Callithrix jacchus: one gene and its partners. The protein of the gene in region 1 interacts with the protein of each later gene in a biochemical or structural test. Links are inferred from orthologs where the notes say so. Each region holds a gene or a part of one and is shown in the gene's direction. Other genes may lie near its edges. The genes, in order: SMAD4, CEBPB, SKI, COPS5 and TFE3.

Region 1 (6,252 bases):
CTAACCCATGCCTTGATTCCTGACTCAGAGCAACTGTAAGATCACAAAATTGAAGCAATGAGAGATCCCTGGAGAAGAAGAAAAGGAACTGAGAGGCCAGGGTACTAGGAAGATCTTATAACCACCTAGCACTAGGACAGAAGTGGCATTAGAGTGACTGACAGGAGCAAATTGTGCAGAGATGAAGGGGAGTGAGGTCAGCGATAGAGGTACTGGATAGCAAGATTTAAAGCTGCTGGTTTAGAGGAGGAGGGGGATGGTTTGAAAGCAATGTTGAGAAGCAAGAAGGAAACCTACCCCACTTCCAGGCACTGAGAGGCTGAAAGCTGAAAACACAGTTGCCACTACTTGAGAGGTGGAAGGAGAAGCAGTGTTCCACGGCAAAGCTGGGGTTTCCCTTAAGTAAAAAGGTGAAGGGAACCTGAAGAGAAATTCTGAGAAGAGGCTGAGCTTATAGAGAATGCCATTTGCCTAAATAAATAGATAGCATTGTAGACTGAATCTAAAGAAGCCCCATATGATCCCCACCTCCTGGTGTTCATGCCTTTGTGTGTCTCCTTCCCCTTGGCAGTGTAGGTGGTGCCTGTGATTTGCTTCTGGCCAGCAACGTATGGCAAAAGTGACAGGGTATGAGTGACACAGTGTATGTGATGATGTTACATAAGATTGAAACCAGTGTCTTGCTGAGACTCTCCCCATTGCTGGCTTTGAAGAAGCAAGCTGCCATATTGTTAGCTTCCCTATGGAGAGGACCACATGGCAAGGAACAGAGGGGGTCTCCAGCCAACAGCCTGTAAGGTACTGAGGCCCTCAGTCCTGCAGCCTGCAAGGAACTGAATGATGCCAACAACCACATGAGCTTGGAAACGGATCCTTTGTTCCAGCCTCACTTTGTAGAGGACCCAGCTAAGCCATGCCTTGTCTCCTGACCCACAGAAACTGTAAGATCATAAATATGTGTTGTTTTAAGCTTCTATATTTGTGCTGACATTGTTATACAGCAATAGATAACTAATACAGACGGAATGGAAGAAGTTTAGTTATAACAATGTCTCAACTTTTAAAAAACTTCTTCTGAAGTGTATTACCTAAGAATCACATATTGAACTATTATTAAATCATGTTTAGTAATCTATTAGCTGACAGATCTACTTTCAGTTTTGTTGACAGAAAAGATTGGAAAACTATCCGACTTGCAAAATAATTTAATACCCTTCACCTAAGGTCATTTACTTTCTCAGCATAGATACCGATATTTGAATTGCCCCTTTTGGATTGCTGGGGAGGTTCTGCATTGACCCAGTGTACCTTAATAATGAGTAAGAATTCTGACTTTCTTTTGTAAGGTGGGAGGGAGAAGGGTAGTTTTGAAAACAGGTGCTGTGTCCTTAGCTCCCTTCTCAAGCTGGGCAATTTTAGAAAACAGAACATATAGCAACGGAAGATATGGAAATGAAATCCCTTAAAACTGGTCTTCATAAACCCCAGTGGTAAGAGAACACCAGTTTGAAGCTTTAGGGGCTTTCTGGCATTAAAAGAAAAAAAAAAGTGGGGGGGAAATGGCCCAGGATGTGGAGGACAGAATGAGGCACAGAGGATCTATGTGGCGAAGGCATGCGGTGGGTGTAGAGAGTTCTGGGCTACGTGACCTAAGAAATGACTTTAGAACTGGCTCATCATTAGTTTTGGAGGGACTAAAACTAGTCCCAAAGTAGTTCCTGCTTGGTGAAAATATATCATTAATGCGTTTTAAATTAAAAAAAGAAATGCATGCGTCTTGTAAAAAATGAAATAAAAGAAATATAAAGCCAAAAGCAGAGCCTATGCCTTTCCCCACCGAACAAACAGATAACCTAGTTAATAGGTGTGTAGTAGGAGTCGAAGTTCCCCTCCAGCTCCGAGAGTGCTCTGTATCTCCTCCAACAAAACCACCCACACTTGGAACGCCTGGCAAGGCTCTTCAGTAAGGGATTCCTTGACTGTCCTGTGCGTCTCTCGAGTTTAAACACCTCTGGGGCTCGTGATTCGGGGCTGCCGGAGAGGGAAGGTGCGGCCAGCGTCTGTTTCTTACCGAAGTGAACTGCTACAACCTAGCCACGTTCTCCTCCGAGCTGTAGACTGGCTCTTGAAGGCCAATTTTTGTGCCTACGCAGGTCCTCAACACCAAACAAAACAAAAAACCAACAAAGGCCGGGCTAATCACTGTTTATAAACACTTACTGGACGCCCACTCAACGCCGAGCTCTCCTGCGCAGCTTGGGTACTTTTTTGCAAAGAGATGCCAGTGTCCCTGGCGACCACTCCCTCAAGCAGGCCTTCGCCCTCCGCCCGCATCGCGGCCCAGGCCCAGGCCCAGGCCGAGGCCGGGACTCTGAGCCTCCCGCCGGCTGGCGCTGCCCGGCAGGCGCCTGCGCAGAGCGACCCTCCCCTTCACAGGGGGCGGGGGACGGAAGGCGGGGGCAGCCGGGAGAAAGGAAAGCTGCGGGGGAAAAGGGCCAAACCCTGAAATTACCCGGATGTGGTCCCCGCGCGCGCATGCTCAGTGTTCTCTCGACAAGTTGGCAGCAACAACACGGCCCTGCTCGTCGTCGCCGCTGCGGTAACGGAGCGGCTCGGGTGGCGGAGCCTGCGTTCGCGCCCTCCTGCTCTCAACGGGAGGCCTTTCTCGCCCTCCCCTCGGCTCCGCAGTCGCCCAGCGGGTGGGAGCGGGTGAGGGAAGCCGGGTGCCTCGCGAGAGAGGCCCCCCGCCGCGGGGCTGCCCGGGAGCTCGAGGCGGTCCGGTCGGCGCGGGCAGCGGCGCAGCGCTGAGGAGAGGCGGCCTGGCCGGGAAGCCTCGGGGCGGGGGCCGAGGAGCTCTCCGGGCCGCGGGCGAAAGCGACGGGCCCGGAGCGTCCGCGGACCAGCAGCGGCGGGAGAGCGGACTCCCCTCGCCACCGCCCGAGCCCAGGTAACCGCGCCATGTCCCCTCCCCTTCCCCCGGCCTGGCCCGCGCACCCCGCCCGCGGCTTCTCCGCCCCGGGGCGGGCTCCCGGCGGCGGCGGGGAGCGCGCGGATCCGCTGGGAGGGCGACCGTGGCTACCTGACGAGCCGGCCCGGGCGGGCTGGGTGAATGCAGGGTAGCGGTGCCTCGCGTCCCTCCAGCTCCCAGCTCCGCTAGCAGCTCGTGCGAGAATCAAGTTAAACTCGGACGGGACTCCTGCCGCGGCCGCCGCTCCTCTTTGTTGTTCTGGAGTAGTTTCTTGGTCGCCCGGGCTGAGCGCGTTGGGTCGGCTGGAGTGTGTTGCCTTACGGTCTAAATGAAAGTTGTAAATTGTTTGTCTTAATTTATTTTCTCCAGCCAATTTCTGTTTTCTCTTTGTCCTTTACTTTCTCTTCCTAGTCGTGTCAATGCCAGTTTACGCTTCTGTCTTTGATATGTTTAGTTTTTGAGTACTGAGAGTGACGGTGGTATGCCGGACACATTCTTAGCACCTAACTGAACCCCTTCTTCCCCCTATATAACATGCTCCCTAATAAAAGGCACAGTTGATCTTACTGTTAGCACTACGTGTACTGAGAGTGAAATGGGTGTAGGGTGGAGGGCGGTGGCTCCATCACTTGCCCCAAACTGTTGTTAGGATCTCTCAAACTAGATTTTCAAAGACACGAGTATGTTTAGTTAACCTGAAAGGTTTATTGGCTGGTGCAGAGGTTTTACAAAGCCCTGCTGAATATTAATAGCTGTTTCCCTCAAAAACCTAAGTACATTTGTTTTTAATAAAGCGCGCGCGCGCACACACACACACACACACACTCACACACACATTTATTTCCAAATTACTTTCTTAATGCATTTAGTTTTTGCACCGTAGTTTAAGGTGAAATTGCCAGTTACTTAGGAATAATAAATATAACAAGATAATAAGGGAATTAGACTGAGTTGACTTTCTGCAGACATACAATCTTAGCTAATTTTTGTTAATAACCTTTTGACTTTTGTCGGAATTAGAATCCTTTTAGTCTTAGTAGCAGCTTGGTTACTCGGGTATTTAAGAATTAGATTCACTACTTTTTGCTGGCAAAAAACATTTATTAGAGTCTCAAAAAAATGAAATGCATAATGTTGTAATTAGGTTTAGAACATGGCATTTGAATAATTTTTATGGTGGATTTCATAAATTACTTTGCCATACTCTGCCGAGACTAGATATATATTTTTTAGTTGAAATATAGGAAATTCTAAAGTGCAACTTTTTTTTTATGCTGAGGACTTATTCTGTCTATATTGGAAAGTTCTGATGTGATTAGTAGATAACATTCTAAACTGTAAATGATTAACATTTAAAAACACGGATTTTTAAAATTAATGTTTCTTCCATAATGCTGTCATGATTTTGTATACTTAAATGGGTTCCTTAAAGAACAAATGTAATAGAGATAGGCCAAGCATTTATAATTTGGAGTAGCTTTAGATCTAAAGATGGTGATGAATTATGTAGGCTTAAGTTGTTGGAATTAAAACCAAAAGCTTCTTTAGATAAAATTGTTACAATATTTAACTTTATTAATAGAAGTGGCTTTTTCCTTGCTTTCCAGGTTTTCGGGTGAGTTTTTAAAAAGTATGGCATCTTGGGTTTTTTATTTTTGAAGTGGGGGTGTATGGCTCTGTTTAGGTCAGTGCCTTCAGTGTAAATCTTGAGTTTAGAAAAAAACAAATTGCAAATCTGTTTTTCAGACTTAATGAAAATTTGTGCTGAGAAATATTTCACTTTGAAATATTTTGGAATAAGTTTTATGTGGATGATTGACTTTTTATGATAGTTTTGCTGCTTGAAGCAATTCTGCCTATACTAGGAGGCAGCAAATCTTATTTTAGAAAACTTGTGCTTCATTTTCTTTTTTTTTTTTATTGCATTTTAGGTTTTGGGGTACATGTGCAGAACATGCAAGACAATTGCATAGGTACACACATGGCAGTGTGTTTTGCTGCCTTCCTCCCCTTCACCCACATTTGGCATTTCTCCCCAGGCTATCCCTCCCCAGCTGCCCCGCCCCCGTCCCTTCCCTATTGCCCCAATAGACCCCAGTGTTTAGTACTCCCTTCCCTGTGTCCATGTGTTCTCATTTTTCGTCACCCACCTATGAGTGAGAACATGCGTTATTTCATTTTCTGTTCTTGTGTCAGTTTGCTGAGAATGATGTTCTCCAGATTCATCCATGTCCCTACAAATGACACGAACTCATCATTTTTGATTGCTGCATAATATTCCATGGTGTATATGTGCCAGATTTTCCCAATCCAGTCTATCATCGATGGGCATTTGGGTTGGTTCCAGGTCTTTGCTATTGTAAACAGTGCTGCAATGAACATGCATGTGCATGTGTCCTTATAGTAGAACGATTTATAGTCCTTTGGATATATACCCAGTAATGGGATTGCTGGGTCAAATGGAATTTCTATTTTAAGGCCTCTTAAGCTACATTTTAGTCGAGCGATTGATTGTGTGTGAATTCCTTTTCTGTGTTCCTCTTCAGTTTTTCTTTTCCCCCCAAATTAAGGAGCAAGCATTAACCTAATTTGTGCTGCCCAGTCACACTGCAGCTCTCCCACTTGGAAGCAGTTTCTTTCTGATTGAGCCAGTGTTATAGTAACATCATTAGACACCATTCTAATTGAGGTGTGAATTACTGAGGCCTCTACTAGGGCGGTTAACCCTATAGAATCTGCAGGGTTCATTATATGTAAAATGCATATTTAGGCTTGTCTAAATTTTTGTCTATTTTGGTGAAAACAGGTTTTGCTGATGTTTAAATTTAGTTCATTTTGTCCCTCTCTAGTTCATACCTAACCTTTTTTCCATTTTTAATTCAGTGATTTTTTTTTTTTTTAGAGTGACTGGTTCTTTAAGCATCTTTTAATCGGCATTTCAGCACTCATTATATATGTTTGGATTTCTTTTTGTTGGTGTTGTTGACCTGGAAGACTGTGTAGTTACGAATAATTTTTTTTTTTTTTTTTGCTTAGATCGATGATGGATGGTGGCTCTGAGATGACTGTTAATTGTGTATAAAAGTAACCTGACAAAAAATGTTTTGTTATCTACAGTTAAAGGACAGACCAGAATAACACAGCATTTCTTCTTCTTTTTTTTTTGAAATGGAGGCTTGCTCTATTTGTTTGTTTTTGAGATGGAGGCTTGCTCCATCTGAGATGGAGATTCCAGGCTGGAGTCCAGTGGTACAATCTCAGCTCACTGCAACCTCCGCCTCCCA
Region 2 (5,570 bases), on another chromosome or scaffold:
ATAGTAAGAATTGTGACAGCAGGGGGGTGTGAGAGGATCGACTGAGGGGCTGGACTTCCCATGGGGAGATTGGACAGGGGGCGGTTTCCTGGAGGAGGCAGCCTTTGGGCTGAGAACTGAGGAGCTGCCTTGGGCAGAGGTGGGGTGACAGTGTTCTTGGTGCATAGGGAACAGCAAATGCATTCATTCACGGGTCCATGTTGAGTGTGCTGCACCCAGGAATTCCTCGTGGGCCAGCCCTCCCTGAGCGGCAGTCTGCAGGGAGACTGAGATAGACCACTAGGAGAATGGAGGCTGGTGATAGGGAAGGAAATTCGCCAGCAGGGGGGACAGAGAGGGCTGCTCTGAAGCCGTGGCCTCTAGCTCAGCCCCGAGTGTCCCATTTTCCAGTGAGGAAGGCCTGGCCGGGTGGCCCTGGGGAAACTGCTGCACCCCTCTGGGCCTTGATCCCTCCCCAGCTCAGAGGCTGCTGGGAAGGCCCAGAAAGCCAGCAGGCTCGGCCAGTGTTCTATCCCCTCCCTCCCTGCCTCCTACCCACCAAGGGTGCCCAGAAATGTTATTTCTCCAGCTCTTGGGGGCAGAGGTCACCCCAGCTCAGCAGATAACATCGAAGGTTGAGCAATGCCCGCCTGCCTGCTGGGGCCAGGGCTGGGGTCAGTGGGCCGGGGGTCAGCCCCTGGCAGGCTGGGAGCTCCTGCCTGGGCAGCCTGGGCTAGGAGTGGCAGAGAGGTGGGCCCAGGGAGCTGCCCCAGTGGCCTAGGAGTGGGTCCCGGAGGGCAAAGGGCCCTCTGACCTGAGCCTACCCAGCAGAGGCGGGCAGTGGTCAGAGGACCTCTGGCCTGTGCTCAAGTCCAGACTGGTGCTTGTCACTTTCCCGTCTGTGAAAAGGCAGCAGCAGAAGCATCTTCCTGGTGGGGTGAAAAAAGTTGAACCTTGGGGTCCAGGCCCACCCCGAGCACAGGGCAGGGACTTGGTAAAAACAGGGGTGTCTCTTCTCTTTCCTGAATGCCACCCCCTCTCCCGTGAGGCCTGGCTTAAGCCGCTCACGGCAGCTTCAGAAACAGAAGCTTTTTGGTCTCTGGGGCTGGCAATAGGTCTTAGGGCCCAGAGAGGGCAGGCATTTCGTGTGGGATGAATGTGGGCGGGACACTAGGCTGTGACCTTGGTATGCCATGCTATGCCCCCTCTGGGCCTCCAGTGGCACAATCCGTGGGGGTCCCTTTTTCTCCGATGTGCTGCCTATAAGGTAAACCTCAGGTTGGGGAGTCTGTAGGAACAATGCCACCACTGCTGACAGTAGGGACACCCTTCATGGACTGCAGCTGGGAGAAGTGAAGGGACTCACCCAAGGTCACACAGTGTGGCAGGGCCGAGCGCCCCCCAACTCCATCCCCATCGCAGGGCCCAGGTCGGGTGGTGCGGTGCGGGGTGGGAGAAGACCCAGGTGTTGAAGCCGCGAGCAGGCGGCAGGTGAGGTGGGCGGGGCGCCGTCCACCAGGGTCCAGCCCCCAGCGGAGCGCGCTCCTGCCCTGTCCCCTCCCCGACCCCCGGGATCCTCATATTGGTGGCTTAAGAGGGAGTCGTCACAGGCCTGGAGTCTCCTTTCTAGAGCCAGGGACCTGGGGAAGGGGTGGGAGTTTAGGAGAGGAAGGGCCACGGGGATGGGTCGCTTCTCCAGGAGCTAGAGCTGCGGCCTGGGGTCTCCAGGGATCGGCCCGGGGAGCGGCCCCCGGTCGGCAGTCCGGGCTCGGCTCGGCCCTCCTGAAACCTCCGCCTCCTCCAGCAGGGGGCGGGCCGCGGCCGCGTCTCCGGGGGGAAGGCGCTCAGGTCGCCCCCTCCTCGGATTCCCCCGCCTTTCAGGGCAGCCTCCAGCCCAGAGGGGCGGTCCGGGGGCGGGGTCGCACCGCCCCCTCTCGCTCCCAATCCCGGGGCGGCCGAGCGCGGGTGGGCAGGGGGCGCGATGCCGCTCCCCCCGCGGCCCGGGGACCCCCGGAAAACGCGCTCCGGGTGCCCGGTCCCTCCGCTGCGCCCCGCCACCGGCCTCCCGGGGGTCTCGGGCGTCCGCGGCCGTGTCCTCCGCGTCCCGGTGGCGGCGGCGGGAGGGGCCGGCGTGACGCACGGTTGCTACGGGCCGCCCTTATAAATAACCGGGCTCAGGAGAAACTTTAGCGAGTCAGAGCCGCGCACGGGACTGGGAAGGGGACCCACCCGAGGGTCCAGCCACCAGCCCCCGCACTAATAGCGGCCACCCCGGCAGCCGCGGCAGCAGCAGCGACGCAGCGGCGACAGCTCACAGCAGGGAGGCCGCGCCACCTGCGGGCCGGCCGGAGCGGGCAGCCCCAGGCCCCCTCCCCGGGCACCCGCGTTCATGCAACGCCTGGTGGCCTGGGACCCAGCATGTCTCCCCCTGCCGCCGCCGCCTGCCTTTAAATCCATGGAAGTGGCCAACTTCTACTACGAGGCGGACTGCTTGGCTGCTGCGTACGGCGGCAAGGCGGCCCCCGCGGCGCCCCCCGCGGCCAGACCCGGGCCGCGCCCCCCCGCCGGCGAGCTGGGCAGCATCGGCGACCACGAGCGCGCCATCGACTTCAGCCCGTACCTGGAGCCGCTGGGCGCGCCGCAGGCCCCGGCGCCCGCCACGGCCACGGACACCTTCGAGGCGGCTCCGCCTGCGCCCGCCCCCGCGCCCGCCTCCTCCGGGCAGCACCACGACTTCCTTTCCGACCTCTTCTCCGACGACTACGGGGGCAAGAACTGCAAGAAGCCGGCCGAGTACGGCTACGTGAGCCTGGGGCGCCTGGGGGCCGCCAAGGGCGCGCTGCACCCCGGCTGCTTCGCGCCCCTGCACCCGCCGCCCCCGCCGCCGCCGCCGCCCGCCGAGCTCAAGGCGGAGCCGGGCTTCGAGCCCGCGGACTGCAAGCGGAAGGAGGAGGCCGGGGCGCCGGGCGGCGGCGCAGGCATGGCGGCGGGCTTCCCGTACGCGCTGCGCGCTTACCTCGGCTACCAGGCTGTGCCGAGCGGCAGCAGCGGGAGCCTCTCCACGTCCTCGTCGTCCAGCCCGCCCGGCACGCCGAGCCCCGCCGACGCCAAGGCGCCCCCGGCCGCCTGCTACGCTGGGGCCGCGCCGGCGCCCTCGCAGGTCAAGAGCAAGGCCAAGAAGACCGTGGACAAGCACAGCGACGAGTACAAGATCCGGCGCGAGCGCAACAACATCGCCGTGCGCAAGAGCCGCGACAAGGCCAAGATGCGCAACCTGGAGACGCAACACAAGGTCCTGGAGCTCACGGCCGAGAACGAGCGGCTGCAGAAGAAGGTGGAACAACTGTCGCGCGAGCTCAGCACCCTGCGGAACTTGTTCAAGCAGCTTCCCGAGCCCTTGCTCGCCTCCTCCGGCCACTGCTAACGCGGCCCCCGCGCGCGTCCCCCTGCCGGCCGGGGCCGAGACTCCGGGGAGCGCCCGCACCCGCGCCCGCGCCCCCGCCCCCGCCCCCGGCGGCGCCGGCAAAACTTTGGCACTGGGGCACTTGGCAGCGCGGGGAGCCCGTCGGTAATTTTAATATTTTATTATATATATATATATATCTATATTTTTGTCCAAATCAACCGCACATGCAGATGGGGCGCCCGCCCGTGGTGTTATTTAAAGAAGAAACGTCTATGTGTACAGATGAATGACTCTCTGCCTCTCCCTCTGCCCCTCTCCAGGCGCCGGCGGGCGGGCCGGTTTCGAAGTTGATGCAATCGGTTTAAACATGGCCGAACGCGTGTGTACATGGGACTGACGCAACCCACGTGTAACTGTCAGCCGGGCCCTGAGTAATCGCTTAAAGATGTTCCTACGGGCTTGTTGCTGTTGATGTTTTGTTTTGTTTTGTTTTTTGGTCTTTTTTTTTTTTTTTGTATTATAAAAATAATCTATTTCTATGAGAAAGGCGTCTGTATATTTTGGGAATCTTTTCCGTTTCAAGCATTAAGTAAGAACACTTTTAATAAACTTTTTTTTGAGAATGGTTACAAAGCCTTTTGGGGGCAGTAATTGGCTTTTGTTTTTTTTTTTCTTTATTTTGGATTTGTTGGATTTTGTTTTTGCGTTTCTGGTGTGTAGGGGGTTGTGTGTGGGGAAGCTGCTGTTATTTTTGGAGGTTTTGGTGGTTGGGTGGGGGTGTTGCAGCTGGTTTTTCTGCCTCTGCTACTCCTCCCCCCACCCACAGGGTCTGCTTGGAGATGGGGTTCCAGCTCTGGGGAAAAGGGGAGAACAGTGATGGCTCAGGCTTTCAGGCTGACTCAGAGTCCCTGGGCGCTGGGACGGGTGGCTGGGAACCCTGCTTGAGAAGGGAGTCCAGGGCCTCTGGCTGGTCCGGAGTGTCAGGCTTGGGTTTGGAAGGGCTGGGACGTCTGTGACCCCTGTCCTGTGTTTGGGGATCGTAGGCACGCCTGTGACTGTAAGAGGAGAGGGTTCAGGTCTTGGTCCGAGTCAGGGCAGATGCCTGTGGTAAGTGTAGTAGGGTGGGTTGTTTAAAACACAGTTTGTGTATACGTGTGTATTTTAAAGAGGGGAGCCTGGGTATGTGGGCAAGTCTGTGTTTGTGTGTCCCTGGCCAGCAGGAGGGGAGAAGCCAGGCCAGGTGGAGGGAGGTGGGGAAGGGGTTCTCACACTTTGATTCCCTTTCCTTGGGATGGGGGGGCTCATCACTTGCCCTTTTTTGCCCAAACATGGACACTGAGCCCACCATACCTGCTTGCTCAAGGTGGCTGAGTCCAGGCACGAACCTGGGGCTGCTAGCCCTTATTCCCTGGGACAGGTTCCTCTTCCCTGCCCCCTGATCCCTCTGACCCTTCCAGCTTCTCCCTGCACCCCCACCCCCATGCAGCCCCGGATGGCATTCCTGAGAGTTGAGGATGTAGATGGATGTGAGTGGATGCATGTACAGCGTCCCACAGTGCCTGGCATGCAAGAGGTGTTATATAAGCGCTTGCTCTTGTTATTATTTTTCGCTGGGAAGCTGCTGGCATTTGGCACCCCAGTCTCCAGTGCAGCGCCAGTGTGGCCACTACTTGCCAGGGGCCGGCATCTGGTAAACACTGGACCTGCCCCATCCCATTTAGACCTCACAACAACCTTTGGGGAGGTGGGGACTGTTATGATGCCTGTTTCTAGAGGTGGGGAGCAGCTTTGGGCTGTCCGATCCCTATGGGCAAGACAAGGTTGGGGGTTGCCCTGCTCTGAGGAATTCAGGGGCAGCAGGGGTTGTAGACTGGCCTGCCAAAGGCCTGGGGCAGTCTGGGATCTCAGGAGCAGCTGCTGATACGGTGGTTCCTGGTTTGAGAATGGGAAATGTGTTGCCCCTCCTTTTCCCTTTGAGGGGCTGGTTGTGCTTTACTGTGGGAGCCCAGGGCATGGGGAACAGACAGCAACACTCAGCCCCCACCATCGCAGCGCTGAGGATTCTGGCAAGCTCCACCTCCCTAAGGCCAGTGTCTCCTGATGGTGGCTCGAGGGCTATGCAGATTGCTGGACACAGATAACCTCACTTCAACCTGGGGCCTGCAGTGTGGCCCTGACCACGTCT
Region 3 (6,287 bases), on another chromosome or scaffold:
CCTTTTTTTTTGAGACGTAGTCTTGCTCCGTGGCCCAAGCTGGAGTTCAGCGGTGCCATCTCGACTCACTGCAACCTCCACCTCCCAGGTTCAAGGGATTCTCCTGCCTCAGCCTCCCGAGTAGCTAGGACTAGAAGCAAACCCAGCTAATTTTTTTTATTTTTAGTAGAGACGGGGTTTCACTGTGGTAGCCAGGATGGTCTCAATCTCCTGACCTTGTGATCCGCCCGCCTCGGCCTACTAAAGTGCTGGAATTACAGGCGTGAGCCACCGAGTCCGGCCTAAATATCCCTTTTAAGGAAATAACTTTCTTACCCAGCTTTCGGATGTGTTAACATAGACAGAAGCCTGGCCTCCGATTGTGGGGGCCAACGGAGTGAACAGTAAGAGTGGGGGGACAGTGTGGAGGGCGATGACAAGGAGAGTCAACCTCCGAGGCAGTGGAGGGAGGACGCATGGAGCCGCCCTGGGGTCACCTGCAGGTCCTGGCTGCCTCTCCACACAGGAGAGTCCTGTACAGGGACGCCCGGTCGGCTCCCCCAAGGCAGGAGGTCACAGCTGGTCACCCAGGTTGCGGCGGTGTGGCCCTCTCGCCTTCCCCCAGCACGAAAGCCAGCCTGGGTACCCGTGGCCCGTGGGAAAAGGTGCCAGGGCCCAGGGCGGCAGGAATGTCCCTCGGCCTCGGGCGAGGACAGCCCCCAACCCCCTCCCACCCATTGCGTCCCGGAGCCCGCAGGCCTCGCTGGACGCTGCCACCTCTGGGGACCACCAGGCCGACCGTCCAGCTTTGGGACCCAGGCTTTCCCACTTCGGCCTGCCAGGGCTTGTGGCTCTCCCACTGCGTGGCCAGGCGTGGAGAGCCGGCCCGACCGGACGGACGGAAGCGCCCCGCAGCCCCGGGGCGGAGGGCAGGGGTCTCGCCAGTCTGCCCGTCGGGACCCGCGGGGCCGAGATCCTGAGAAGCCACCCGGCCAGGGGCCGGCAGAGCGGCCGCGGCGGGGGCACCGGGCGCCGCCCCTCCCAGGCCCGAAGCCCCGGTCTGGTGGGGCGGGGCTGGCACGGGCGGGAGCCGCTGACACCCGGCCACCGAGCCACGGGCCACGGTGCAGCGGGGGCCGCGGGGCTGCGCCGCCAGGGTCACGTGGCGCGAAGTCCCCCCGCGTGGCCACCATCCCTGTGGTGTGTGGGACCCCAGAGGCGCCCGGGCTCCCCGCTGTGTGGTGTCCCACCCTGGGAGAACCCCGGGTGCGTGGCGTGGCCCGCCAGCCGTCCCAGCTGGTTTGCGGTCGAGCGGGGAGCCTGTGGGTTTCTGGGCCCCGGCGGCGGCGAGACGGGCGCCTTCCCAGCAGCGCAGGAAGCGGCCTCGGCCGGAAGGGGGCCCCGGGCGCCGCCACCACCGCCTCCGCCTCCGCCCGCGCTAGCGGCCGTCGGCGGGCAAGGCCGAGCGGGGCCGAGTCGAGTCGAGCACGGCCGAGCAGAGCCGAGTCCCGGGCGAGCGGAGCCGAGTCGTAGCAGGGCGGGTCCTAGCGCAGCCGAATCCCGGGCGAGCGGAGCCGAGCGCGGCCGAGTCCGGGCGGGGAGCGCGCGTTCCTGGAAGAGCCCGGCTGGGGAGCGGGTCACATTCTTGGCCGGCGCTCTGGCTGAGGCGGACGCACAGCAACAAACAGCGCGGGGGGCGGGGCCGGCGCGGGGCGGAGCGGGCGGCGCGGGGCGGGGCGGCGCGGCGGCGGCGTGAGCTCAGCGCCGGGCGCTCAGTCCGAGCCGAAGCGAGCCGCCGGGAGGATGTTCGCCGAGCGCCCCAAGCCCCGCGCCGCCGCCGCCGCGCTCTGAGGGCCGCGGGCGAGAGGCGCCTCCGCCGCCCCAGAAGCCGGGCGGGCGGGCCGCGGAGCCGGCGGGCGGGCGGGCCGGGGGCCGGCGGCGGGCGCGACGCGGCCGGCCAGCGCCGCCGGGACGAGCCGGGCGGGCGCCGCGCGGTGGGAGGAGCGGGGCGGCGGCGGCGCGCCGCGCGAGGACGGCCCGGCGGGCCCCGCGCCCGCGCCCCCGCTCCTCCCGGGCCCCTCGGCCTCGGCCGCCGCGGCGATTCGCGCCTCTCGGCGCCGCCACCTGCCCGCGCGCCCCCCGCGAGCCCCGGGCCCGCGAGCGTTGGCGTTGGCGTTGGCGGCGCGCGCCGGGGCATGCCCCGCGCCTAGAGCCCGGGGGGCGCGCGGGGGACGCGCGGGGGGCCCGGGCGGCGGCGGGCGCGGCGCGGGGCGCGTGGATGTGGCGCCGGGCCCGGGCGGCGGCGGACTCCAGCGGCGGGACCCCTTCGCCCCGCCCGCCTTCCCCTTCGCGCCCCCGGGCGAGGCCGCGGCCGTGATCGGTCGTGAGCCGGCGGCAGGGGGCGGCCGGGGTCGGGGCCGCGGACGCCGCCGGGGCGCGCGGGGCGGCGGCGGGGGCCGGGGGGGCCCGGGCGCGCGGGAGCGGGAGCGGCCCGGGGAGCCGGAGCGCACCATGGAAGCGGCGGCGGGCGGCCGCGGCGGCTTCCAGCCGCACCCGGGGCTGCAGAAGACGCTGGAACAGTTCCACCTGAGCTCCATGAGCTCGTTGGGCGGCCCGGCCGCCTTCTCGGCGCGCTGGGCGCAGGAGGCCTACAAGAAGGAGAGCGCCAAGGAGGCGGGCGCGGCCGCGGTGCCCGCGCCGGTGCCCGCAGCCGCGGAGCCGCCGCCCGTGCTGCACCTGCCCGCCATCCAGCCGCCGCCGCCCGTGCTGCCCGGGCCCTTCTTCATGCCGTCCGACCGCTCCACGGAGCGCTGCGAGACGGTGCTAGAGGGCGAGACCATCTCGTGCTTCGTGGTGGGAGGGGAGAAGCGCCTGTGCCTGCCACAAATCCTCAACTCGGTGCTGCGCGACTTCTCGCTGCAGCAGATCAACTCGGTGTGCGACGAGCTCCACATCTACTGCTCGCGCTGCACGGCCGACCAGCTGGAGATCCTCAAAGTCATGGGCATCCTGCCCTTCTCGGCGCCCTCGTGCGGGCTCATCACCAAGACGGACGCCGAGCGCCTGTGTAACGCGCTGCTCTACGGCGGCGCCTACCCGCCGCCCTGCAAGAAGGAGCTGGCCGCCAGCCTGGCGCTGGGCCTGGAGCTCAGCGAGCGCAGCGTCCGCGTGTACCACGAGTGCTTCGGCAAGTGCAAGGGGCTGCTGGTGCCTGAGCTTTACAGCAGCCCAAGCGCCGCCTGCATTCAGTGCCTGGACTGCCGCCTCATGTACCCGCCGCACAAGTTCGTGGTGCACTCGCACAAGGCCCTGGAGAACCGGACCTGCCACTGGGGCTTCGACTCGGCCAACTGGCGGGCCTACATCCTGCTGAGCCAGGACTACACCGGCAAGGAGGAGCAGGCGCGCCTCGGCCGCTGCCTGGACGACGTGAAGGAGAAGTTCGACTATGGCAGCAAGTACAAGCGGCGGGTGCCCCGGGTGAGTGGCCCCAGGCCTGGGCGCGGGGTGGGGCCGGTGCGTTGGGTGGGGGGGCACCTCCTGGGCCTTGCGCTCCGGGCTCCGAAGGCCGGGACCTGTGTTCTGCCTCACTCCTGTCTCAAGGCTTCGGTTCGTTTAGGGGAAATTCAGAGCGTTCCCTTGGGCAGGGCCAGTGGGTTTGGAAGGAAGCCCTCCTGCCGGTTCCTCAGGACGAGCCTGGGCGGGGCTGGTGGCGGTGGGGTGCGGGGCCAGGCTTGGTGTGTGGGAAAGGCCCACAGCCATTGCCCAGATAGGCCAGGAAGGCACAGGCCTCTTGTGCTGCCGAGAAAGCGGCCTGTCCCGAGGTCAGGGAAGTTCCATCCAGCCGTACTGCGGCTGGATGCCTCAGGCCCGGGTCTTCCTTGGGGTTGGGGTGAAGGTGGCTGCCCTTACCCCGAAGCTTCCCAGCTTTGAGCCCCAGGAGACAGAGCTCGGGCCAGGCGAGGCCTGGTTTTGTTACTGGCTCTGCTCCCTGTTTGGTGTCCTGAAGTTTTGGGACACAGACCCAAAATGAAGCCAGGTGTCCGGCGTTAGTGGCGGAGGGCCGAGACTCAGCAGCCCCAGCACTGTGCTGGTTCGTCTCCCTGGGCCTGCCAGGGAGCAAATCCCAGAGTCCCCCGTGCAGGGTGAGGGCCACTTGGCACCCAGCTGAGGGCCTGGTCAGCAGGCTCCTGGGCCCGAGTGCTGGAGTTCCTGGCGGCCTGCGATTTGTTTTGGACTCACCCGTTTCCTTCTCTCCCTCTGAAGCGCAGAGGGACACGCCAGGGAGGGAGACTGTCAGCCCGGCTTTGTTGTTTGCCAGTTGGAGGATCTGGAGGATCCGGCGTGGGCAGCTCCCAGGCCATAAGGCACCGACATTACCCAGTGGGGTCCTCAGGAACTTTCCGTTGCATACCTTCCCAAGTATTTGTAACTTTTTTTTAAATATGCAGGCTTATTAAATTGCACACACAGAATGCTGCATTGGCTCAGCTATTCTTGGGAGGCCTAATTAATTCAGCTATTGCATCAAACTTTTTTTTTGAAATCTGTGAATAGATGCTCCAGCCCGGTTTTCTCTGGGCGGCCCTCCAGCAGAGTGTCAGATCGTGGGGAGGAGGGGCTGTGGATGGAAGCGAGGGACTGTCGCCTCTGCTTGGAGGGGGCTGCGGAGAGTGTGCGCGCGCGTGTATGCCTGTTCAGGGGCGCTCTGGCCCTGCCAGGCCAGAGCCTTGGTGCAGCTGCTTGCAGACCTGTGGGCTGTGGAAGGATGCTCCCGGCGGGGCTGCTGACAGACCCAGCAGGCTGGGGCCTTTCGTGTCACACGGGGAGTTGGCTGGGGTGGGCATGATGGCGTACCCTGTGGGCTGGGGGCCGTTCTGTTTGGGGTGGCCACCCTTGCTAGTGCCTGTGGCTGGAGGAAGCTACGTGTTGGGGGGATTGTGGTGGGCTCAGGCAGGTTGCGGAGTGGGTCACCTGTGACCAAGGCCTGAGCTGCTGGGACACACTCACGTCACTGTCTTGAGCTGAAGGCAGAGACTCTCAGCTGAGCAGGGTGCGTCTGTTTTTGTCCGACTGTGGGTCATGTGTGTGCTTGTGGTCTGTCTGTCTTCCTGGGCTTTGCTGGGGGGCCAGCAGGGCCCAGGTCACCCAGCTTCTCCCTCCCTGCGGCAGGCGCTGCGGTTGTAAGCGCCAGGGTCCTCAGGCTGCCATAGAGACACGCCAGACAGGCTTCTCTCTGGTCATCTCAGTGGATGGTTCCAAGCCACCTTTCCCTTTTGAAGTCTTCTCCAGCACTGCTCTGAAATCTCATTTTCCAATTAAAAAGCAATTCCCAAGCCATGATGAAGATGTGCTCAGTCTGAGCGCCTGGCGTCTCCAAGCCTGAGTGGTGGCCACAGCTCTGCCCTGACAGTGGTGGCCTCCTCCTGGCTCCCTGCATGTTCCCCGGCTCCTGCGGGCTTTCCTCATGCCCCTGGGGGTGGGGCACCTAACCTGTCTGTGTCCCCTCCTGCCTTGTGTTTCTGACAAGGGATGGCGGCCTGGGACTCTGCCCTTGCTCAGTACCTGCTCCGTGGGCTCTGTGACTGTGTGGTTGGGAGATCTGGGCTGTAGATCTGGGCTGTGTGATTGGGAGATCTGGTCCCCTGAGGTCTCCCCAGGACAGCCGTGTGCGTGTCCGTGCGCATAGGGACGACACAGGAGAAAGGAGTGTGGTCTCAGGGTGGGCGTGGACCCACGGTGCTCAGACCCTGATTGTCCTAGGAGTGGCCTGGGAGGCCCCGCCCTTGTCCTAGCTGGCTGCCCCTGGTTCCTCCCACTCACATCTTTACAGCTTATTCTTAGGATATGTTTTGATTTCTTCACTTCCTTTGTAGCTTAATACTTTTGATCTGCTGAGGATGAGGGCAGAAGGAACGAGGAATGTACTGGAACTCTTTGCAGGGGCTGCTCCTCCCAGCAGGCCTTTGGGCTCTGAGGAGTGGGAGGGAGCGGAATTGCCTTTCAGGTGTTTGGCCAGGCCAGGGCTGGGTCCCCTGCCCGAGTGAGTAGCGCCACTCTGCTACCCATGATGCAAGGTGGGAGAGGGCAGTGATGTTCTCGGGTCCCAAACAGTGGGAGGCGGGGCTGCCCTTTTGCGTTGGAAACCCTGTGTGAGGGCAGCTGTGTCTGAGACCCTGGCCTGTCAGCAGCACAGTGACAGCATGAGGGGCCGAGTCTTCCTCCAGTGTCCCCTCGTATCGTGGAGTGCAGAGAAGGCCTCTGCTCCCATCCAGTGGCTGTCAGGTCTCGCCAGCTTCTTGCTGTTG
Region 4 (5,568 bases), on another chromosome or scaffold:
CACTTATTTTTCTATTTAGAGATTCTTAGAAAATTCTAGAATTTCTAAAATTGAAATTTTAATTATATGTGGTTTTCAGTAATCTCTGACTTATTTCTGTAAATACAATGATCTTTTCTTCCTTTTTGGTTCGTGTTTTTTTATTCGAGGCAGAGTCTCACTAGGTTGCTCAAGGACTACAAGCACACTACCATGCCCAACTAAACAAATATATATTCACATAGAGATTTAGTGTTCATTATTTAATTTGCCCTATTAAAAAGAATTTAAATAATTCCTGTTTGAGAGAATTGCTCCTAAGCCTGGAAACACCTTTGCTGTGATACTTTAATCTTCAGAGGAACTCTCAATTATTTTTTATTTGAGTTATAGTGGTATCAAAGATTTATCCTTTGAAACAAAAAAGATTGAAATGCTTTATGTTTTCTGTATTCGAGCAGATCTACTGTCCCCATTTGTCTATTCTGTTGGTTTATCCTTTCTTTCTTAAATAACATTTTTTTAAAGATCTTGTTGCATACCATGCATTAAATAACTTTCTTTTGGCAAATACCTTCCCTTGCCACTCTGAACTATGAGTCTACCAAAGAGGGGGCAGCTAGTTTTCTAGCTGGGATTATGGAATTACAGGCATGAGCCACCGTGCCCATCCTGATGTCTTTATGTTTTATTTAATTTATTCTGCTTAATTCATTATATTTCTTCATTGCTAAAATTTAATCAGTAAGCATTCTTGCACTTTGGATCTGAGGTGGGTGCATCACTTGAGGTCAGGAGTTCGAGACCAGCCTGGATAACATGGTGAAACCTCATCTCTGCTAAAAGTACAAAAAATTAGCTGGGCATGTTGGCAGATGCCTGTGATCCCAGCTACTCAGGAGCTACACAGGACATTCGCTTGAACCTGGGAGGTAGACGCTGCAGTGAACCCAGATTGCGCCACTGCACTCCAGCCTAAGTGACAGAGCAAGACTCTGGCTGAAGAAAAGCATTCTGTTTTACAAGGGGTACCTATGTGTCTTTATCTTTTGCACCACTAATCTCTGAGTCTGAACCTCTGTCTCTTCTCATCTGCTCTGCTGCAGTGGCTTTCTTTGTGGAATCCCTGCCTCCAGTTTCTCTCCTGTAACATGTCCTGATGGTACTGCCACAGCCAGGCTTCTATAAAACACCCCTTTGACTGTATTATTAATCTGCTAAAGTACCTTCCATTCTACTCAAGCACTTTCCATGAGTCCCAGTTATCCAAAGGATAAAGTCTAAATTTCTTACCTTTTGGCCGGCTGTGGTGGCTCACACCTGTAATCCCAGCACTTTGGGAGGCCAAGGCAGGCAGATCACCTTAGGTCAGGAGTTTGAGACCAGTCTGACCAATACGGTAAAACCCCATCTCTACTAAAAATAAAAAAATTAGCCGGGCATGGTGGTGGTGGGCGCCTGTCCTAGCTGTTTGGGAGGCTGAGACAGGAGAATTACTTGAACCCAGGAGGCAGAGGTTGCAGTGAGCCAAGATCATTCCACTGCACTGTAGCCTGGGTGACAGAACAAGACTTTGTCTCAAAAAAAAAAAATTCTTAACCTTTTATGTAACATCCTCCGCCACCTAGACCCCAGCTTTCTAGCTTCCCCTCACATAATTCTTCTCTTGCTAAATTGTCCAGCTAAACCCATTACCTTATTATCCCTTACATGTCTTTCCTTTTTGTGTGTTGATGCTCTCTGCCTAATGTCCCCCTTGCTCTCACATATCCATACGATAGATTCATAAATGGTTACCCTACACCTTGCCTTTTCCCTGAGACTTCTCAGGCAATTCTAGCTCCAGATGATCACTTGAGCTCCTCTACATGAAGAGTACTTATTATCTCTAACCCTTAGTTGGTGGATGGTTCATTTTATATAGCACTATAGCATCACTTATTGTTATTCAATGTACATCATTACATTTAATGTTTTGGTGGGTTTAGACCACATCCCCCATATAAATGGTGACTTCCTCAAGGTAAAGATGTCTCTTATGCTTTTTTATATCCATTGTTACACGGAAGCAACTGAGATAGTTTAAATTTTTAAAAAATGCATTTTCAGACATTTAACTTCTAGATTTTTCTTACTATGCCCTGATGATAAATTAGGCACCTTTGAAAGTGGGAGCAATTTTTTTAGATGCCTTAAGGACCTACCTAAAAAATTTGATTTTCCAAAATGCAGTAGGTCCTAAATAGGGAACTAGAAAGGGAAACAAATCCACATGAGATTTTTATTATTTTAAAGTGGCTAACAAAAATTATAATTTACCCTAGAGAGGCAGCTCATTAAATTTATGTGCTGTTGGCTTCAATTTTTCAGCAACAGGAATAAACTTGTCATTCAGAAGTTTTGACTGGTTAATAACATCTTGGGAATTTCTGGGCTCTACAGAAATAAAAGGAATAAAACAAGGATGTTTAGTAGAAGATTTGGATCCACAACCCTTGAAGTGTAAAGAAACCATGGTTAGCTATTACCTTGTTGGAATAAAAACTAAAACATGAGAATAAGGGATAATTTGAGAATAAAGTATAATTCACTTAAATTTGGCCATAACTTTTATGTGATGTAGTTGAATTTTTTTTCACTTACTAAATTTTGTGCTTTTATTTCATAGATATTATGCCTTAGAGGTCTCATATTTCAAATCCTCTTTGGATCGAAAATTGCTCGAGCTGTTGTGGAATAAATACTGGGTGAATACATTGAGTTCCTCTAGCTTGCTTACTGTAAGTATTATACTTGCAAGGAATGCATTTGAATTTTATCTAAGCTACTTAGCCATTTAATATCTGAAACACTGTTTCACAGAAAGGCAGTACCTAACTTGGCCAAGACACCAAGGCTGAGGTGAGATTCTGCACCACCAGAGTGGGATTAGGATGCTAGGCCAATTCAAGATTTTTGTCATGACCCATAGAGACAAAGTCTAAGTAGCAAATAGAGTGGCCAGATCAGGGTGAGATCTGCTCCTGCCATAAGGAGATTTATGGATAAAAAATATACAAATATTGATTTTTGTGTATCAGGTGTCTCAGCTTGGAGTCTGGTTGCAAGTAACACGACACCTAATGAAATTAGCTTAAGAAAGAGAACTGCGTAAGTTGCAAAGTTGAGGAATAAGGCTTAACTTAGGCACAGCTAAGTTTTCATTCAAACAATATTATGAGATCTTGTGTTTTTTCTCTCTTAGCATTGATTTCATCTTAGTTACTGCTAGTTTCAGGCTTCATGTGAAAGCAAGACAGCAGCTTTAGCTTTAGACCTCCAGGCCTCTCAGTTTCATGTTCAAAGAAAGAGATGGTCAAGATACACACACACACACACACACACACACACACACACACACTCTCTCTCTCTCTCTCTCTCTCTCTCTCTCTCTCTCTCTCTCTCTCCCCCCCCCCCCCACCCTCTCTCTCTCTCCCAGTCAAAACTTCATTGTGTCTGACTGGCTTTACTTAATCACATGCCCATTTTTAGGACACACACACACACATACACACAGACACACACCCCCATGCAAAATTTCATTGTGTCTGACTGGCTTTACTTAATCACATGCCCATTTTAAGGCCAACTGAATAAGCCTGATGAATGGCTTTGGCCATGGCAAGTGCTTTACTGCTGGGCCACAGTGTAGAAAACTCCTTCAGTAGCTCAAGTACTAAAAACGGGGAAGGAGAGGTTCCCAAAGGGAATCAGAATAGCATTACCTTAAAGCAGTAGATGCTGGGAGGGAAAAAAAAAAAGAGGTCACTGAATTTTTTCTGATAATATAAAAACCCAAAATATTTGGAAGGATATTTAATCAGCTTCTCTATATATAGAACTTAGGAACAATTTTTTTACTTTTCTAAAAAAGCAGGCCATTTCATATACTGCAGTATATATAGTAGTTAGAACCATAGGATTTAGAATAAAATAAACTGGGCTTGGAGAATATGAGCTACAGCAGCAGGAGTCATAGTAGGACCATCACTTAGAAGTTTCTTACGCTCTTTGATCAAGTATTGGTTGAAAGGAGTACAGCTGAAGCTGGAACTAAAGAAGGCATTATGCTTCCAGAAAAATCTTAAGGTAAAGCATTGCAAGCAACAGTAGTAGCTGTTGGATCACGCTTTCAAGGAAAAGGTGGATTCAACCAGTTAATGTGAAAGTAAGAGATAAAGAATTATTCTCCCTGAATATGGAGGTACCAAAGCACCAAAGTAAAGAACTACTTTGCCATTCTTTAGGTTTATTCAGTTGACCTGGAAAGCCAAGGATTGTGTTTTCGTTTCGTTTTTTGAGACAGGGTCCCTGTCATACAGGCTGGAGTGTGGTGGTACAATCTTGGCTCACTGCAGCCTCAGCCTCCCAGGCTCAAGCAGTCCTCTCGCCTCAGCTTCCCAAGTAGCTGGGACTATAGGGGTGAGCCACCACACCCGGCTAATTTTTGTATTTTTTTTGTAGAGACAGGGCTTTGCCATGTTGCCCAAGCTGGCATTGAACTCCTGGGTTTCAGCAGTCTGCCCACATTGGCTTCCCAAAGTGCTAGCATTACAGGCTGTGAGCCACCATGCCCAGCCAGATTATTTAGAGATGCTGACATTCTTAGAAAGTATGTAGACTAAAGTAAATCACTAATGAAATGCCATCAACATGAAGCCGCTCATTGCACGTAAGTTCTGAAATACTTAATTATATAAATAATTTCCATGTCTCTCTTGTATAATAAGCAAATGATATCCTAAAAAATAAAATTGACTTTGAAAACAACTCTGCCACTTTACTAGTTCTGAGCGACTTTCAGAAAGTTATTTAATGTAACTAAGCATTTCTTTGTTGTAAAATGGTGATATACTACATACATCATTAAGTACTCTGAGAAAATTAAATGGGCTACTTTATATAAAGCAATTAGCAAAGTGTCTGGCATATGATAAAGCCTCATTAATTTTTTTTTATTTGGTGCATTATATGCATGGAAAAATACCTCACTTTAGCCTATTATTTAACTGTTCTTTTTTTAGGCTAGTCAAGTGAAGCAGTGTATTTTTTATTATTTTAAATAGAACTCTGACAAGCTCTCTGTTCTTTCTTTTTTTCTCTCTCTCTTTTTTTGAGACAGGGTCTCACTCTGTTGCCCAGGCTGAAGTGCAGTGGTATAATCATCTCTCACTATAGCCTGGACTTCCTGGACTCAGGTGATCCTCCTACCTCAGCCTCCTGAGTAACTGGGACAACAGACATGCACACAACCATGCCTGAGTAATTTTTTATATTTTTTTATAGAGACGGGGCTTTGCCATGTTGTCCAGGCTAGTCTAGAACTCCTGGGCACAAGCCATCTGTCCACCTCAGCCTCCCAAAGTGCTGGGATTACAAACATGAGCCACAGTGCCTAGCATCTTATTTCTTATCTTTAGTAGTCAGAAGTAGCAAATTAGAAGGATGGAGAATGATCATCATAGCAAATATGTGTTACCTGCTTCCTATGTGCCAGACACTGCTAAGTGCTTTATATGTGTTGTTTCCTTAGAGGCAAGTATATTAATA
Region 5 (6,227 bases), on another chromosome or scaffold:
TAGTAGCTGGGATTACAGGCATATGCTACCACCCTCGGCTAATTTTTTTGTATTTTTAGTAGAGACAGAGTTTTGTCATGTTGGCAAGGGTGGTCTTGAACTCCTGACCTCAAGTGATTCACCCTTCTTGGCCTCTCAAAGTGCTGGCATTACAGGCACAAGCCACTATGCCTGACCATTGTTTTTGTTTTGGAGACAGTCTTGCTCTGTCACCCGGGCTGGAATGCAGCAGCGCCATCTTGGCTCACTGCAACCTCCGCCTCCTGGGTTCAAGCCATTCTCCTGCCTCAGCCTCCCAAATAGCTGGGACTACAGTTGCATGCCACTACGCCCAGCTACTTTTTGTATTTTTGTAGAGACAGGTTTTTGCTATGTTGGCCAGGCTGGTATCAAACTCCTGGACTCAAGCGATTCACCTACTTTGACCTCCCAAAGTGCTGGGATTAGAAGTGTGAGCCACTGTGCCTGGCCCATTTTTATATGTTTAAGGCATCATAGGAATTTTAACATTGGATCTACACGTTCCATTTTAGAATTTTGATTGGTGTAATTGGTAATGTATTAGTTTCTTTTGTTTTTGAGACAGACTCTCACTGTCACCCAGGCTGGAGTGCAGTGATGTCATCTAGGCTCACTGCAACTCCACCTCCAAGTTCAAGGGATTCTCATGCCTCAGCCTCCCAAGTAGTAGGGATTACAGGCATCCACCACCACGCCCGGCTAATTTTTTTTTTTTTTTTTTTTTGAGACAGAGTATTGCTCTGTCACCAGGTGCCAGGCTGGAGTACAGTGGCACAATCTCGGCTCACTGCAATCTCCGCCTCCTGGGTTCAAGCAATTCTCCTGCCTCAGCCTCCCAAGTAGCTGGGACTACAGGCGCACGCCACCACACCCAGCTATTTTTTTTTTTTTGGTAGTAGAGACGTTAACCATGTTGGCCAGGATGGTCTCGATCTCTTGACCTTGCGATCCACTCGCCTCGGCCTCCCAAAGTGCTGGGATTACAGGCATGAGCCACCGTGTCCGGCCAGAAGTCATCTTTATTATGTGGAGGTCCCCTCCCACCCCTGGTATGAGATGGTTTGTGTGAGTATGAATGTGCAAGTTTACGAAAGCAGCTGACAGTCCTGTGAAATAAGGATGCCAATACAGAAGGTCCGAGGTAAATGGGAACTCAGTGAAACTCCTATAGGCGCAACAAAGGGCGGGGTCTTGGCATGTCGGGAAAGAGGAAGGGAAGGCTGCGGGTCTGAGTGAGCTACGTGCACCTGAAGGTACGGATGAGACCCTCCGCCTTGTGCAAGCCGGCTTGCATGCGTCTGGCATACAGGAGCGCTCAGTAAATGTTGAATAAATGAACCAATGAGCTAATAAACTAATTTTGGAAAGCTTCTTGTATGACAAACAACCTGCTAGCACTTTTCATATACTATCTTTAATCCTCAGAACAACCCTGCCAGACAGGTATTTTGATCTCCATTTAACAGGCCAGGAAAGTTGAGGCTGGGAGAGGGGAGGTCCCCTTCCATATTCAAACCTGGATCTTTGTGATTCCAGAAGTCGTCATTCACCGAAGGGACCAGATTCATCACCCGTCAAGAATTTATTAAGCACATATTGCGCAGCGCAACGAACATAGTACACCAACCTCTCTCGATGGCATGGAACAAGTGGAGTACTCCCAGAAGACCAGCTGGGCGGCTGGACTGCGGATACCAAAAGGATAGGGTTTCTGGCCCGGACTTTCAGGGAATGTAGCTGCCTCTGCCTCATAATTATGGCTTTGGCTGAGAGAGCACAGTTAGATCGAGGTTGCAGCGCGGTCTAGGGCGCAGATATTACGAATATTGGCCGAGAGAGGGCGCGGTTCCGCAGCTAAAAGCTAGGCCAGGAGACCCTCAGCGCGCCGACTGGCTGTCGAGGCGCAGGCGCAGAGGACCCAAGGAGCGGCTTAATATATTATCTTGCAGGGGAATAATTTGAGAAGAGAGGGCGTGGCTCCAAAAGCGACGCAAACATGGAGGCGTGGCTCAACCAAATTGCCCCTCGCCTATTTGTCGCTGTCCTTGAGGGCGTGGACTGGGCGCTTCTTTTCAGAATGAGGGCGGGCCGAATCGCGTTTTTCCTCCGCGTTGGAGGCGTCGCTTAGGGCGGACCGTCGAATCGCCGTTCAGCGATTGGCTGCCTCACTAATGGGTCGTGGCCAGACGGGCCGTCCATCCCCAGTGCGGTCACTTCCTGTGGAGTTTCCCCATCCCTGGCAGGAGGGAGGCGGGGGAAGAGGACGAGGGGGAGGAGGGCGGTCGTCCGGGGTTAGGTTGGGGGGGGCGTTGGTCCTTTCTGGGCGGGGGATGACTCACAGCCCATCCCATCTCCCCGACGCCGCCCGCCCGCGCAGTGCTAGCTCCTTGGCTTAGCGGAGGAGGAGGCGGTGAAGAACTGGGGGGAGGGGGACTCTTATTTTGTTAGGGGGACCGGGCCAAGGCCCGACCGGCCTGGCAGGGCTCGCCCGCGGCCGGGCGTCATGTCTCATGCGGCCGAGCCAGCTCGGGATGGCGTAGAGGCCAGCGCGGAGGGCCCTCGAGCCGTGTTCGTGCTGTTGGAGGAGCGCAGGCCGGCCGACTCGGCTCAGCTGCTCAGGTGCGGGGCCGGCAGGGGCCGGGAGTGCCGACTGGGGCTCCCGGGGGCCTGATCTGGGGGGCAGCGGGGGCCCTGGATTGGGATTGGAGGCCCTCGGCCTAGGCTTGGAGGACGTCGGGGCGCCAGTCTTGTGGGGGCACCAGTCTTGTGGGGGCACCTAAGGAATCCGGCAGTGGCCTGCTTGGACTGTGGCTTAAAGGAGTCGTGGGAGAGTGCATTAAGCGGGCCTGTGTCAGGTTTGGGGAACCCTTGACTGCGTCTAGAGGGGCTGATTCTGGAGTATCCAGAAACTGAACTTGGCGGACTGGGACTCTGATTAGAGGCTGAATTCGGGGGTTTTCAGTCAGACATGAAGGGAATGAATTTGAGGGGACACTGTCAGGTGAGGCACTGATTTTAAGGGGATCCTGGAATCTTTTTCCCTCAGCGTGGGAGAAGGGGTCCTGAGGGACAGAAGTGCTGTCTTGGGAGCTTGGTGCCTCTCAGTGGCTGGTTGCTGTGTTTGATGATAACATGAATCTGGAGGGATTTGCAGGTATCTCAGATATGCTGTCTGGGACCAGCCTTGTGAGTGCGTGTGAATGAACAAGAGAAGCAACATTAAGCAAGACTTGATCAGAATAATCTTTTCTCCCCTGCCCGCCCACCCAGCTGGGGCAGACCCAGGGATAGTGGAAAAGCCCTCTTCCCACACCTGATAAGGGCCTGAATGACAGAGGGCAGACAGAGGGTGATGATGTTACCTCTTAGCTCAGACAAGGCCTCAGACCTTGTTTGGGAACCCAGAGGAGGCTCTTGTTCATGCTGCTACTTGCTCTACCCTCTCAGCCCTTCCCAGTTCCTAGTCCCACACCCCTCTTATTTTTATTTTATGTTTTTTTCTATCTCCGACCTCCTGGGGGTAATCTTGAATCTGTCCATAGAGCTGGAATGAGTACAGATTGCACCATCCCTGCCTGGGTGGGTCCCCTCCGGCCTCTTCTCATCCTCACTTCCATCAACGGGCTTTGGAGCCCCAGCCCTCCCTGCTCATCCCAGCACGCCCATCTCTTCCAACTTCTATGCAATGGGTGTGTGAGCTTGGCGGGGGCTGCGTGAGGGGGGAGGGGTCTTTGCCTCCTTTGTGCCTGGGATTGTGCTGAGCTCAGTGCCTTCCCCGAGCTTCCTCTTCCCAACTTCCTGGGTGGTTTTAGGACTCCATCTGAGGGTGAGGAGAGGAAGGAAGAGAGATCCTTGGGGAGGGGAGAGGATTCTTGTCAAGTGAAGTCACCAGCAATCTCTCAGGATTCTAAATCTTTGGCTAAATTAAAGGATGCATATTCATCTACCACATGTGTGTTAAGTGTCCCTTGCTCTCTAGGGCTAAGCATAGCCTTTCTGTATATCGATTCACCATCTTCTAATTCCTCTGTAACAACCTAGATCATCGCAGTAGTGGACATAGTTAAAAGGGAGGGGTGTATTTGGCTTATTTTGTGTGACAGTGGGTGTTGGTGTTGGAGGTGTGTGTGTTTTGATCTATCCAAAAAAACAGGAGAAGGCTGGACAGGCTCCTCTGGCTAAGAAAAGAATGCTTGTATAAAGTGGATCAACCACCTATATTCTCCCTCCTGTAAATCCAGTCTGTTGGAGCGAGGGGAGCCTTTGATATTTCTATTTTATATTTGGGCATGTGTTGGCATCCCGTGAACTCTGGCTAGGGCTGGGAGAAACTCATTTGTGAAATGGTAGATCTTTACATCAGGTGAATTATTCCCAGTTCTCTTTGTGATGCATTCATTTTGTGTTACAAGGGGCTCTTATGCTGAGGGATACCCCCACTTGCTGTGTGTGTGTGTGTGTGTGTGTGTGTGTGTGTATGTGTTTACGTTTACACATATACCTGGGCTCACATTCAGCTGTAAAGAAAATAGTAGGAGGTTGGCCAGGTGCAGTGGTTCACGCCTGTAATCCCAGAGAGGCCAAGGCAGGCAGATCATGAGGTCACAAGATCAAGACCATCCTGGCCAACAAGGTGAAACCCCGTCTCTACTAAAAATACAAAAATTAGCTGGGTGTGATGATGTGTACCTGTAATCCCAGCTACTCGGGAGGCTAAGGCACAAGAATGGCTTGAACCCAGGAGGTGGTGGTTGCAGTGAGCCGAGATCGCACCACTGCACTCCAGCCTGGTGACAGAGAAAAAAAAATAGTAGGGAGTATAGGGGCTGAGAGAACTCTGAATAGGAAGTCAGGAATTCTTCCATAAAGTGAATTGTTACTCCTAAATTCTGTTTAACTCAAACCCAGGTTCTTACACTGTTGGGGTTGGGATACAGGCATTCTTATTATTCTGACTCTTAAGGGACTATGAGTAACACGGTGGGGAAGGGAAAAGGGTATGAGGGGGAAGGAGGTGGGAATTCATGGTGGTGTGGTACCCAGCAACGTGGCCAAATATGAGGGGCTTGTGTTCTTCTGTTCTTTCTCCCCATCTCTGTCTGTCTGTCTGTCTCTCTTTCTCTGTCTCAGGGGAGGGCAGGGGAATAAGATCCTTCATTCAATCACTGACCACCACCCCACCTCCCCCTCAGCCTGAACTCTTTGCTTCCGGAATCTGGGATTGTTGCTGACATAGAATTAGAAAACATCCTTGATCCTGACAGCTTCTACGAGCTCAAAAGCCAACCCTTACCCCTTCGCTCAAGGTATGTATGAATTGTCTATCTGAGTCCCCTCCCAATTCCTCAGCACTCCTCTCCCCTCTTGATGGGCAGAGGCCCTCAGTACCAGCCCAATCCAGTCTTTCACTAGCCTGCATTTTCCAGATGGTAATATTAGGGGCCAGAAAGAGCATGATCACACAGGGAAGTAGGTTGCCAAGCTAGGATTCCAGTATCTCTGTCAAGACCTCCCCTGCCTCCCCGCAACCCACCTGCACACCCATTCATACGTAAGGGTTTCAGCCTCAGGTGTTCCAGCTGGCCTGGAGTGCCCAGAGATAGGGCGTGGCCTGCTTAAACTCACACCCCTGGGTGGGCGGGGCCATACCTCTAGCCCCAACTCAGCCCCTTCCCACACTACCCACTTACCCACCCTCAGCCTTTGAGGAGCCCCTGCTGGTCTCTTTCCCCAAGCTTGGAAGTCTAAATGTGCTGAGTCATCGGCCCGGGCTCTGAGAGAGGGGAGGGGATGTGGAAGAGGGGCAGGAAGAGAGGATTGTGAAATCTCTGAGATTTTCAAAACTGACTAGCTCCTGGGACCAAAGGTCCAAGCAGGGGAGGAAGAGGAACCTGGGGCTTCTCCTATTGCTTGGTGCTCACCCCCAGGAGCTCAGAGAGCTTCTTCAGCCTCACATTGGGCTTAGGAGCCCTGTGTATCCATGTTCTGCTGCCACAACCTCAATTCTGCTTCTTCTGCTCCTTTAAATAGGACAAACCCCCTCTCGCAGAGCTGAACAATGGCATCTCCACTTAATATATGAACAGACTCAAATCTAGGCTTCACCATTAGGACTAAAAGCTAAAACTCCCCCACTAGAGTGACCTCCAGTGTGTCCCCCATCAGATTGTTACCTCGGAGAGCCACCACCAAGCTTGGTTCCTGTG

The links.
Region 2: the proteins of SMAD4 (region 1) and CEBPB form a complex in vitro, tested with the Homo sapiens proteins (2 studies listed by BioGRID and IntAct). The link is inferred for Callithrix jacchus from reciprocal best matches to the Homo sapiens genes SMAD4 and CEBPB.
Region 3: the proteins of SMAD4 (region 1) and SKI form a complex in vitro, tested with the Homo sapiens proteins (3 studies listed by BioGRID and IntAct, with this or other methods). The link is inferred for Callithrix jacchus from reciprocal best matches to the Homo sapiens genes SMAD4 and SKI.
Region 4: the proteins of SMAD4 (region 1) and COPS5 form a complex in vitro, tested with the Homo sapiens proteins (2 studies listed by BioGRID). The link is inferred for Callithrix jacchus from reciprocal best matches to the Homo sapiens genes SMAD4 and COPS5.
Region 5: the proteins of SMAD4 (region 1) and TFE3 form a complex in vitro, tested with the Homo sapiens proteins (2 studies listed by BioGRID). The link is inferred for Callithrix jacchus from reciprocal best matches to the Homo sapiens genes SMAD4 and TFE3.

Annotation. Positions count from the first base shown.
Region 1 is NC_133514.1:94,256,008-94,262,259, forward strand, and holds the start of SMAD4 (mothers against decapentaplegic homolog 4), read left to right. Parts: upstream 1-2,541; 5' UTR 2,542-2,947; intron 2,948-6,252. UniProt on the Homo sapiens protein: In muscle physiology, plays a central role in the balance between atrophy and hypertrophy. When recruited by MSTN, promotes atrophy response via phosphorylated SMAD2/4.
Region 2 is NC_133506.1:45,725,447-45,731,016, forward strand, and holds CEBPB (CCAAT/enhancer-binding protein beta), read left to right. Parts: upstream 1-2,167; 5' UTR 2,168-2,368; coding exon 2,369-3,403; 3' UTR 3,404-4,018; downstream 4,019-5,570. UniProt on the Homo sapiens protein: Important transcription factor regulating the expression of genes involved in immune and inflammatory responses. Also plays a significant role in adipogenesis, as well as in the gluconeogenic pathway, liver regeneration, and hematopoiesis.
Region 3 is NC_133508.1:40,278,329-40,284,615, forward strand, and holds the start of SKI (ski oncogene), read left to right. Parts: upstream 1-2,042; 5' UTR 2,043-2,490; coding exon 2,491-3,459; intron 3,460-6,287. UniProt on the Homo sapiens protein: May play a role in terminal differentiation of skeletal muscle cells but not in the determination of cells to the myogenic lineage. Functions as a repressor of TGF-beta signaling.
Region 4 is NC_133517.1:22,929,617-22,935,184, reverse strand, and holds part of COPS5 (COP9 signalosome complex subunit 5), read left to right. Parts: intron 1-2,647; coding exon 2,648-2,759; intron 2,760-5,551; exon of another isoform or gene 5,552-5,568. UniProt on the Homo sapiens protein: Probable protease subunit of the COP9 signalosome complex (CSN), a complex involved in various cellular and developmental processes.
Region 5 is NC_133524.1:49,588,569-49,594,795, reverse strand, and holds the start of TFE3 (transcription factor E3), read left to right. Parts: upstream 1-2,394; 5' UTR 2,395-2,524; coding exon 2,525-2,640; intron 2,641-5,151; exon of another isoform or gene 5,152-5,213; coding exon 5,214-5,327; intron 5,328-6,227. Other genes in the region: CCDC120 (coiled-coil domain-containing protein 120), read right to left, coding at 1,649-1,663. UniProt on the Homo sapiens protein: Transcription factor that acts as a master regulator of lysosomal biogenesis and immune response.